Lonchura striata: one gene and its partners. The protein of the gene in region 2 purifies or fractionates together with the protein of the main gene of each other region. This does not show direct contact. Links are inferred from orthologs where the notes say so. Each region holds a gene or a part of one and is shown on either strand. Other genes may lie near its edges.

The links.
Region 1: the proteins of MTMR2 (region 2) and SBF1 purify together in Homo sapiens (affinity purification with mass spectrometry; 6 studies listed by BioGRID and IntAct, with this or other methods). This does not show direct contact. The link is inferred for Lonchura striata from reciprocal best matches to the Homo sapiens genes MTMR2 and SBF1.
Region 3: the proteins of MTMR2 (region 2) and SBF2 purify together in Homo sapiens (affinity purification with mass spectrometry; 3 studies listed by BioGRID and IntAct, with this or other methods). This does not show direct contact. The link is inferred for Lonchura striata from reciprocal best matches to the Homo sapiens genes MTMR2 and SBF2.

The regions. Positions count from the first base shown.
Region 1 is NC_134607.1:72,716,741-72,720,484, reverse strand, and holds the start of SBF1 (myotubularin-related protein 5), read right to left. Parts: upstream 2,759-3,744; 5' UTR 2,681-2,758; coding exon 2,626-2,680; intron 1-2,625. UniProt on the Homo sapiens protein: Acts as an adapter for the phosphatase MTMR2 to regulate MTMR2 catalytic activity and subcellular location. Promotes the exchange of GDP to GTP, converting inactive GDP-bound Rab proteins into their active GTP-bound form.
Region 2 is NC_134604.1:39,953,386-39,957,129, forward strand, and holds the start of MTMR2 (phosphatidylinositol-3,5-bisphosphate 3-phosphatase MTMR2), read right to left. Parts: upstream 2,962-3,744; 5' UTR 2,917-2,961; coding exon 2,837-2,916; intron 1-2,836. UniProt on the Homo sapiens protein: Lipid phosphatase that specifically dephosphorylates the D-3 position of phosphatidylinositol 3-phosphate and phosphatidylinositol 3,5-bisphosphate, generating phosphatidylinositol and phosphatidylinositol 5-phosphate.
Region 3 is NC_134608.1:51,964,391-51,968,134, forward strand, and holds the start of SBF2 (myotubularin-related protein 13), read right to left. Parts: upstream 2,695-3,744; 5' UTR 2,546-2,694; coding exon 2,491-2,545; intron 1-2,490. UniProt on the Homo sapiens protein: Guanine nucleotide exchange factor (GEF) which activates RAB21 and possibly RAB28. Promotes the exchange of GDP to GTP, converting inactive GDP-bound Rab proteins into their active GTP-bound form.

The DNA of each region.
Region 1 (3,744 bases), on a different chromosome or scaffold from region 2:
GTGCCAGGGCCCGGCAGTGCCAGGGGGCTCACCCAGCCCTGGTGCAGCTCAGCCAGCTCTGCTTTACAGGTGAGGCTGGCAGGGACGGTGCCAGCCTGGCACAGCCCAGCCTGGCACAGCCCACGGCTCTGCCGGAGCAACCCAACCTGTACAGCAATTAGTCACTGGCAGATGAGCACCGCTGCCCTTCCTCCAGCATTATCTAAGCAGGGAGGGGGCTGGGAAAACAGAGCTGGGAGCCGGGAATGCTGCCAGGCTGATCCCAAAAACCACAGAACCGGTGTCGGTCCATCCCTGGGGACAGGCTGGCACATCCCTGGGGACAGGCTGGCACATCCCTGGGGACAGGGCGCAGGACAGTGCTCGGACACCTCCAGAGCAGCACGGGAAGGGGTTTGCTCGGGCTGGCACAGAGAGGCCACAACTCCTGGGTGCCTCAACCTGGACAGGTCACATCTGACTGGGCCATCCCAGCAGCCAGGGGGGTCAGGCTGGTGTCCTGGAGCTGTCCCTTCCCAGGGCATCCTGGATCCATCCCATGCAGGGGATCCTGGAGCTGCCCCTTCCCAGGGCATCCTGGATCTTTCCCCTCTACAGCATCCTGGTTCCACCTCCCCACAATATCCTGGAGCCATCCCCTCCCTGCAGAGGTGAGTCAAACCCAAAATAAAGTGAATATTTACCCCAGAGGAACATAACTTGTTAAATGTGAGCTCTTCCCTTCCCAGTGGCACAGAATCACGACGTGATTTGGGTGGGAAGGGACCAGAAAGTTCATCCTGATCCATGGCAGGGACACCTCCCACTGTCCCAGGCTGCTCCAGCCCCAGTGTCCAGCCTGGCCTTGGGCACTGCCAGGGATCCAGGGGCAGCCCCAGCTGCTCTGGCAATTCCAGCCCAGCCAGGAATTCCTCATTCCCAATCTCCCACCTAAACCTGTTCCTCTTTTTGGCTGTCCCAATACAGCCAATCACACCACCTCACAGCATCATCCCTCTCCCCAAAACAAATCCCAAATGACCCCAGGCACACGTGGGACGTTTCTGTTCCCTGGGAAAGTCACAGCAAGGAACACCAGGCCCAGGGAATGCCAGGTCCCTGATCCCCACCCGTCACCAACCCGCTCACAGCAGCAGTTTGAAGGTGCAGGCCGCAGCTGCAGCATCCTCAGGAGGAGATGAGGAAGAAGATGCAGGAGGAAGCACCCGGAGGCAGGACAAAGGGGGTACCACCCCCCCAGCACAGCTCCTGAGAGGATGTGGAGCCTGCTCCCAGATGGAATCCCGGAATCCCCCCTGCATCTCCCACCCCAGCATGGTGTGAGCTGTGGGACAGCAGCTCCTGCCCAAGGGGACACCGGGGGAACACGCCTGCAGAAACAGCAATAAGAACAGCAATGAAACACCAAACCGACAGCACACGACCACAAAGCCCTCAGGAAACACCAAACTCTGATGCAGAGCTCTGCTCTCCAGCATGCCCGACACCCAGCTCGCTCCTCCTGCCCTCCTCCAGCTGCTCCAGGCGGGGATCCGCCCCGAACCGAGCCCCAGCAGCATCCCCGATGACCAAACCCGCAGCAAAACCAGCAATCCCCTTCCCCAGCTGCCAGCACAGGCTCGGAACGAGCTCAGCACAGCCTGGGGACATGCCAAGAGGGCAGAGACGCTCAGGGGGGCCCTGCAGCCCCGATTTCCTGATTTTAGGGCATTTCGCCTCCTCTGCGACGCTGCCAAAGCTCCTTTTCCCCAACAGCTCTGGGGGCGGGAGGCAGAAGGAAACACGACGGGAAGAGACCTTAAATCCCCACCACGGAACATCCCCCACCAAAACATCCGACAGCATCACCTGACGGCGAGCAGGGATGCGGGAGAGGCCAGGGGAGCGAGCTGTCTGCCAGATCCGGGGCTCAGCAGCGTCCGAGGGAGCAGGGAGGGCACCAGGGGCTGCTCTAGAACGGGGCTGGGGGTGCCCGGGAACGGGGCTGGGGGTACAAACCCCGTCCCGGGGGCCGGGGGTACAAACCCCGTCCCGGGGGCTGGGGGTACAAACCCCGTCCCGGGGGCCGGGGGTACAGACCCCGTCTCGGGGGCTGGGGGTACAGACCCCGTCCCGGGGGCTGGGGGTACAAACCCCGTCCCGGGGGCCGGGGGTACAGACCCCGTCCCGGGGGCCGGGGGTACAGACCCCGTCCCAGGGCCGGTGGGTGCCCCCTGGAAGCACCACATCCCACGCCAGCAGCTGAGGACGCGCAGCGGGAGCAGGCCGGGGGCCACGGTCGGAGCACAGCGGTGCCCCCCGGCCCAGCCCATGTTCCCGGAGCGGCGACACACCGAAAACACCCAAACCGTGCAGCGTGAGCCGCGCAGGGCCGGCCCCGGCTGCCGGGACCGCCCGGGGGCTGCTCGGAAGGGATTTCACGGGGGGATGAGAACTGCCCGCTGCTGCCCGGCCCGGCACCGGCGACGGCCCCGCAGCCTCGGCCCCGCTCCGGGACCACCCTGCACCGCCGCCAGGGCCCGCCCCGCGCCCCCGGCCCCGCGCCCACCCCACAGCCCCGGCCCCGCGCCCCCGGCCGGAGCGGCCCGCGCGGGCCCGGCCCCCCCGCGTCCCTCCGCCGCTCACCGCGCTTGCCGGGGTCGTATCCCACGAGCACGAAGTAGTCAGCCAGGCGGGCCATGGCGGCGGGGGCGGCCCGGGCCGGCCCCGGGAGCCCCGGGAGCCCCGCGAGGCCGCGCTCGGCTCCTCAGGGCCCCTCAGGCCGCCGCCGCCGCCCGCCCGCGCCCACCGCCCGCCGCCGCCGCCATCTTGGCCCCGCGCGCACCGCGCCTGCGCCAGCGCCGCGCGCCGGGGGGGCGGGGCCGCGCCTCCCATTGGCTGCGGCCGGGCGGGGCCGCGCCTTCCCATTGGCCGAGACGGGAAGGGCGGGGCCGGGCGCGAAGGGGGCGGTGCCCTGTGGTGAGGGGCGGGGCCTGGTGCGGAGGGGGCGGGGCCGAGACGTCCCCCGGAGGGGGGGAACGGAGGGTCCGGGAATGGGGGGACACGGGGACATCCCGGGGGACACGGGGACTTCCCGGGGGTGTGTGGGGATATCCTCAGGGTGTGGGACACCCCGGAGGTGTGGGGACATCCTGGGGTGCGGGGACATCCCGGCGGTGTGGGGACATCGGGACATCCCGGGGTGCGGGGACATCCCCGGTGTGCAGGGACCCCTCAGGTGTTCACGCACACGCGTGTGGGGACCCTCCGGATGCGGGGGGACACCCCCCGTGAGCACAGACCCCCCCCAGGTGTGCACGGCCCGCAGAGTGCCCACAGGTTTCCCGTGACCCTCATTCCACACAGTCCCCCTGGAAAGGACCCCCGCAGGTGTGACCCCCCTCAGGTGTGTCCTACACACAGGTGTGTCCCCATACAGGTGTGACCCCACACACAGATGTGACCCCATACAGGTGTGACCATACACACAAGTGTCCCCACACACTGAGATGTGACCCCACACACAGATGTGACCCCACACAGATGTGACCCCACACACAGATGTGACCCCATACAGGTGTGACCATACACACAAGTGTCCCCACACACTGAGATGTGACCCCACACACAGATGTGACCCCATACAGGTGTGACCACACACAGATATGTCCCCACACACTGAGGTGTGTCCCCACACAGATGTGACCCCACACACAGATGTGACCCCACACAGGTGTAACCCCACACACAGATGTGACCCCATAC
Region 2 (3,744 bases):
TTACTAGGGTCTACTAAAATAGCAAAGCAACATTCAGTCTCAAATGCCCTTACTGCCATATCTCATCTGCTTTATTAAAAGACAAACGTATAATGCTCTTCAAGACACTTATTCAAATGTAAGCAGCCTTATGTGTAAGTAAACTCTATCAAGCATGTCTCCTTGAGGAGCTAGATCTTAAGTACCTCTAGAAATAATAATACTTCCGATCAGGAGCTAAGACGATCTAAAGAATGCACTGCTGTATGTATTTCATATCAGCACCTTTCCAAGTCTTCTAAATTTTGCATAAAACAATTCAGTAATTACAACTCAGTAAGGCTTCATATGGCTAGGTAATGGTGATGAGTGACCTTTGAGTCATTTTTTCTTTTTTGTTCCTTTTAAATAAAATGAATTATCAAAACTGATGACAGCATCCTCATGATTCATCGTGTCCCTCACATCATCCCCAAAGCTAACTTCTTCTTTTCAAACAAAATCATTTGGCGAAAATGTGTCACAGGTTACAATTTGAAGCTGGTCTTGCTGTTAGATCACAATCACAGAGATTAAAATTAGTATATTTCAATGCATACAAATAGTCCATTTAGCTTCAGAGAATTATTCTGATGTATAAAATCAAACTGCAATACAGCTTTAATGAAAAAAAAAAAAACCTGATGATAATCAATCTACTGTCCAATTCATAGAAAATTATTTATTTGTGCATATGCATCACTGGATTGGCAAGGGATGCTGATAATAAACATTCTGAAGGTCACCAGGCATCTCTCATTACAAGACTCTGGCTTTATATTCTTGTAATTCTGTGCTAACCTTGAGCCATTTCAACTAAAACGTTCCACAGCCAACACCAACTCAAGATGGGGGTATTTTTATTAATAATTACAGATTTAAAACATTAATCTATTTCAAGTATCTATACTTTGTTTGGAGTACATTAAACCTTCCCAACTGGCTAGCTTTCTTCTATGGTCTCTAGATGTTCAAGCAGAGACTCAAGATGCTGAAAGCTTTTGAATAAGCTTTTTTTACATCCCAAGGAATCTGTTAATAGTGTGGGCCTTTCCAGGGCTTGGAGGACACAGCCTTGTGCATGCTCAACAGCAACAGATTTATCATCTCAATTTCCCCACGGTTCCATCTGTGCAGGGCACGCTGCCGAGAGGCTCAACAGGAGCTTCCTTGTAGCCACTGGCTCTTCTGAGTTAAGCTCTCTTTAGTGTCCATAGGCCTCTTACAGTGAATGACCTCCAGATGGGTCCAAGTTGCCTGAGCTGATGTAAAGATAAAAAGAAGAACATACTGGGTCAGTTAGGTAAGGGGGAAAGAAGCCTGCAGGTTCTGGCATGGCACTAGTAGAACTGCACAAGGAAACCAGTACAGAGAGCAGCGAGTAGAATTTGATGAAGGGTGAAATGAGGGTCAGGAGTCACAAAGGACTCAAGAATGAAGAAACCTGAGTGCAAACAGGATGATGCCTGTCTGAGGAGCAGTTGGGTAATAGCCAAGGATGGGAGTTTTGAGATGCTGGCAACAAAGTGGCCACCAGCATCTTGGGCTCTAAGAACAGAGGCAGAGCCAGGAGATCCAGGGAAGGATTCCTCTCTACTCAGCTTTCAGCAGAGCATTTCTGGAATACTTCATCCAGGTACTAGCCCCACAGTCCAGGGAAGCTGCTAGGGAACTAGGGGGAGTACAGGGAAGCACCACTGGGATAGTGGGGCTGGAGCATCCTGCCTGTGTGGAGAGACAGCTTTAGGGGGAACAAAAATGCAGCCCCAGTGCTCGTGGAAGATACACAGGAGATGCTGATGGGCTGTCCCGAGAGTCTGTGTGCACTTCATCTTTGTAGGTTTTCAAGACCAAACTGGGTAAAAACCAGAAGTAGCCCCATCTGATCTTAAAGCTGTCTCTGGTATGAGCCAGAACTGGACTCGGGGATGCTGAGATTTCTTCAGCCTGAGTTATCCAGTGATCCTACGAATTGGGCAAGAGCAAGAGCAGCCAGAATGGGACTGAACGACCTTCAGCAGGCATCAGGATATCCTGCTCCCGGGGTCGACCACAACACCACGGCTTCCCACACCACCAGCCCTATCAGTCTCTCAGTACCTGCCCTTGCTACCCTACTGCAACCTTCTCCGTCAAACACAAGGCCCAAGCAGGATGTGCTTTCAGTCACTAAATTCAAATTTCACTGGTAGCTCAGGGACGGTGGGAAGAACACAAAAGTCTCCTTTTGGCTTCTATGATTTAAGGACCTTGAATATTACCCACATGGCATTACAAGCCATTCAGACCGCAAAGTCAGGCTCTCAGAAAAAACCATGACGGCAAAACCAGAGGCTGAACATGCCACAGGAAATTTGCTCCTGAAGAGGGCAAGGCCTGGCGCGGGCCCGGCAGCGTGCTGAAAGGCAGCTCCCATGCAGGTGCCGCGCCGCCCTTCCAGCACCGCTCACCTGTGCTGCCCTTCTCCCAGACCCAGGCACCAAGGGCAGGGGCACTGCTCTGCCTAGGCAGGGATTTGCCGAGAGCCGGGTGGAGGCAGCATCTCCTGCTCTGCTTAAAGCCCTGGAAGAGAGAGGCTGTGCCGCAGCCAAGCGGAGCCCACGCCTGCCTTCCTGCTCCGTCACCCCACGGCCACCCCCAGCGCAGGTACACCCCAGCAGGAGAGACCCGATCCCGGGTAAACGCAGGAGCCTGCTGCCCACGGAGGGAGCAAGCCGCACCAGCTCCATCCCGTCGGTTCCTTTTCCCGGCGGCCCCTCCCCGCTCTCCCTCTGCCCCCACGCCCCGCGGTGGTCCCCGGCTCGGCGGCGGGCGGTACCTGGACAGGGAATCGCCGCTGGGCGGCCGCGCCGCCGCCCGCCCGGCGCCCAGGCTCTCGCAGCTGGAGCTCCCCTCCATGGCGGGCGGCCCGCGGCGGGCGCTGCCCCGCGCCCCTCAGCGCCGCGGCCGGCGCCCGGCGGGCCGGGAGGCGGCCATGCTGGCCCGGCGTGCCGCGCGGGGGGCGGGCCGGGGCGGGGCCGGGGGCCGCGCCGCCGAGCCGCCGAGCCTGGCAGCGAGGGCGCGGAGTGCGCCGCGATCCCTCTTTCTGTCCTCCCGAGGGAAGGGGGCAGCTCCCGGGTTCCATCCCCGGAGCACGGTGGTCGTTCCTGAGAGCAAAGAAGTGGCCTCTCTCAAGCATCCTTCAGCTGCGTTAGGCTTTCCGGCTGGGCTGTGTACCCACAGTTGGAGCAGTTGTGCTCCTCACGTTTGCAATTGCCCCTGTCTGCTCGGGAATCCTCACCGAGGCTATCCCTCGGCTGGGTGGAGGGCGCTGCGGGAGGTGGCGGGTCACAGCCTCACCAGCGCGGCTGCCGGGCGCGGATCCTCTGTGGCGCTAGCCGGCGGAAAGCTCGGATGGAAAGCGTCCATGGCCATGCGTGTCCGGAGGACTTCGCAGGCACAGTTCCCTATCGAGTGCTCTGCAGGAAGAGCCATGCTGCGCCCAGTTCCTTGAAGCAATCGAAGAGCTCCCGCTCTTGGCATTGCTTACAAAGACTGAGGGACTGCATGTTAAGCCTCCCATATCAAGGGTGCAGATGTCTTTCAAATGTTTAGCTGTTTTGGCAAGAATCTCATGAGGCAAAAATAATGAACCGCTGGGGATGTATTAGGAGGCTGGTGGGTTTCCAGAATGGCCTGCTTGTTGGTAAAGAGCATCTTATGTCAGGAGAATCCATCCAGACGGAC
Region 3 (3,744 bases), on a different chromosome or scaffold from region 2:
CACCCAGCAAGAAAGGTCTTTTGGATGGGTCAGTATCCTAAAGTGAGCTGGATCCAAAAGAAGACTTAACACAATAGGAATGGCAGCTCTAGGGCTGCTGTAACATCAATTTACACAGGCCTAGACCAGAATAGGAATGGACTTTCAAAAGCTTGATTCCCAAAGGACACTCTCTGGTTTATTCAAGGACAGTAAAACTCTTCACTTCCCCCGAAGACTACGCTGGATAAAAACTTGTACCATCAGTAACAAAGTTGTTCCAAAACAAGAAAAATCGACCAATCTGCTCCTAAACTGCACTAACACTGCATTTTAGATATTTACAGCAAATGTTTTTTGAGTAAAGCCAGAAAATCAGCACCTTTACCACATTTTCAGGGGTAAGATATTGGCACATGTAAATCAATCCATAAAAGCAGTGAGAGGAGAGCCAGAAGACACAGTGGGGCTTTCCTGGGAGAGCAGTCACTACTATAAACACCCTTCCCTATAAACCACAAATGTTTATCACCCAAATGCTGCTGACACACAGGTTGGGGGGAAGGGTACAACATTTTTGTTTGCTTGTTTACACAAAGCTATTCCACAGATTATGCCTGGGAAAAAAAGGAAAAGGAAAACACTGCAAAATGTAATTACACTCAGCATTCAAATCAAGCACATTAAAACCAAGCCAGAAGGTAGATGCAGATGAAAAAAAATTAGAAAAAAAAGGAACATACTTAAAAATATAAAAGTTTCAAGGGTAGCTAGTCTATAATCCTAGAAATGTTTGTCCCTGCTTTTCATATAACAGGAAGCATAATAAGTGCATCAAAAAAACTAGTTTTTTAAGAAAAATAAAGGTCAGTACTCCATGTATGATGGGATTGCATGTGGGGGTAAAGGAATTTGGAAAACAATGCATGCCTAGTCTTCAATAGAATGTTGTTCCTTCAAGCATTTTTCTTACGAAGCATTAAAGTAGCAACAAGTAATTTAAATAATAGAGTCTAAACAATTACTTTCTGGGCATGACCTTTTTAAATTAAGGTTCAGAATTTATTTCTGAATCTGCTCAATTTCACCCATGCAAGCAATTCTACCAACCTTCATGAGACAATTTATGTATAGGAAGTTAAACACATATTTAAATGCCACAGATGAAGACATTTTACAGACATAAAGCTTTCCAATGCAATCTGTAATTTCACTTCACATACTCTGTCAGATTGATCATACCCTAAGCATCCTACTTGCTTTGTCTTCTTAAAAGCACATCTGGGTTTTCTGGTTGCTTGTTTTGATTTGGGTTCTCTTTACTTTGTCAGGGGAAATGTTCCAAACAGGAGAGAGACAAAAGGTCTTTATTTTTAAAATAAAATACTTCCTATTTCACACGGCTTGATTTTGACAGTACAATTAGGACAAACCTATTATCAAATGGAGTGGGAGAGGAAGCCAGGATGTAATTAATAGAATGATAATTGCAGAATAGTAAAATCCAAGACATCTTAGCAGAACTTTGTAAGATATTGCATCTTTAAACCCACAAATAAAATGATGTCTCTAAAAATTGTATTTCTTAAAAAAAAAAAAACATGATCTGAGTTTATTAGCTGCACTTTTCAAATGAACAGATATAGATGACACGCAATTGCTACTTCAAAGAATTACTCTGAGTAACAAACTTGAGTGTTGTTTGGTTTATGCATGGTCAAATAAATTAGGGAACATTCGACTGTTTAAAATATTGTTTATTAACAACATACATTCAAAGGATCGCTCTGAAATACGCAGCACAAACACAATCCAGTTGACGATCACTTCGTTTTCCAGTCAGTTTAAACACTCATTTGAGGTCTCTGCAGCAACAAAGCTGGTACCATAACGGAGAGTTACGTAACACAAACCACTCTCTCTCTGCCCACAAAACGCCAGCAGATAACACCACTTCCCTTTCCCCCCAGCAGGCAGGGCGCATCCCGAGGCTTTAGGAAGAGCACCCATTCCGTCCCCATTCGGCGTGCGGCGCTCCCCGGGGGCCGCGGCCCCGCTCAACAGGCGATGGGTGCGCAGCCAGACGGGGCAAAGCCGCCGCTCGCCGAGCGCAGCCTTTGTTCTGCCGGGGGGCGCGGCTGTCGCGCCGCGGCCGGCGGGACGCAGGTGGGGAGCGGCAGCCCCGGCGCTGCCCCGCGGCTCCGGCCGCCGGGCCCGGCACGGCCGCGGGCCCCGTTTGAACCTGCCCGCGCTCCCGGGAAGGAGCCGCAGCCGCTCCCGGCGGGCGGGGCTGCCCCGGCCGGTCGGTGCCGGAGCCCCGCCGCTTCCCCGTCGGGCAAGGGGGATTAACCCTTGGCTCGCCCCCTCCTCCCCCGGCCGGACGCGCGCCCCGTGCGCGCCGCAGTCTCCTCCTCCCGCGGCCCGGCCGGAGGCGGGCGGGGGCCGGGGCCGGGCAGGAGCGCGGGGAGCGGCCAGGCGCGGCGGGGCAGCGCTGCGCGCAGCCACACCTACCTGTCTTCTCGTGGTCATAGCCCACCACGATGAAGTAGTCGGCCAGCCTGGCCATGGCTGCGCGGGGCGCGGCTCGGCCTCACCACCCCAGCGGCTGCGGCGGCGGCTCGGGGCAGGCTCAGCATCCTCCGCTCCGCGCCCGCCGCAGGAGGAGCGGCACCACCTCAGCCATGTTGGAGGCGCGGGCACGCCGTGCGCCTGCGCGCCGCCCGGACCGCTCGCCGTGACCCCGGGGCTGGGCGGGGGCTGGGGCGGCCCGGCCCGGCCGTCCCGCAGTGCCGCTGCCCCGGCCCGACCGCCGTGCCGGGACGCCGCGCCGCCGCCGCGGCCTCCCTGCGCAGCCCCCGCGGGCGGGGAGGGCCCGGCGGGGGAGGTCCGCGCCCCGCCCGCGCGGGGCTTTGTCTCCCGGCAACCTCCCCCTGCGCGGCGGCCGCCCGGGGGCAGCGGGCGCGGGGCTCGTTCCCCTTACGACAGACGCTGGCGGCGGGTCGGAGCGCTCCGCGTGCCCGGGGAGACGCAAGCGTTTGAGCGGCGCTGCGCTCGCCGCTCCCGCGGGGAGCAGCCGGCGCCGGGCATCGCCCTCGCCGAGCCTCCGCGGAAATGGAAGCCGGCGGCGAGAGAACGGCGGCCCCGCCAGCCCGGCCTGGGGAATCGGGGATTGCGCTTCCAGAAGTGTCCCGGTCACGCTTTGTCCGGGGTGTGCGGGGGCAGCCGTGCCGCGGCCCCGCTCAGCTCCGTGGCGGTGCCGAGGGTCGGCACGGGTCCCCGGCCCGGCCCCGCTGCTCCCCGCGGGCGCTGCCCAGCGGCGCCTCGGCGTGACCCGCGGGACCTCGGACGTGCTGGCCCGGGCACGGGCGGCGGCCGCCGGGGCGCTCAGCGAGGCCGCGCCGGGAGCTGCCGCGGTGCTGTTTGTAACGTGCAGATGAGGCGGGCGCCTTTAGGACCGTGGCCCTCGAAAGCACAGTGGACTTTGCCAGCAGTCGCGGAGATGCTGAGGTTACACGCGCGGACAGTGCAGCGCTTGGGTCGCTGGCGGAGCCTGCAGAAACCACTCTGATAAGCGTCTATGTATGTCCCGTATGACAGCACAGAAGAGCCAGCGCAGAGGACATGGGTTGCGCTCCAGCGAGGAGCAGTCGTGGATGCTGGGCTGAGTGTGCAAGTGCAGCAAACTGGCTCCTGACGATCCACCCTGACCCAGCAAACAGTCCTTAGTGGTCTCAGAGACATTTCTGCTTCAAACACGCCGTTCTT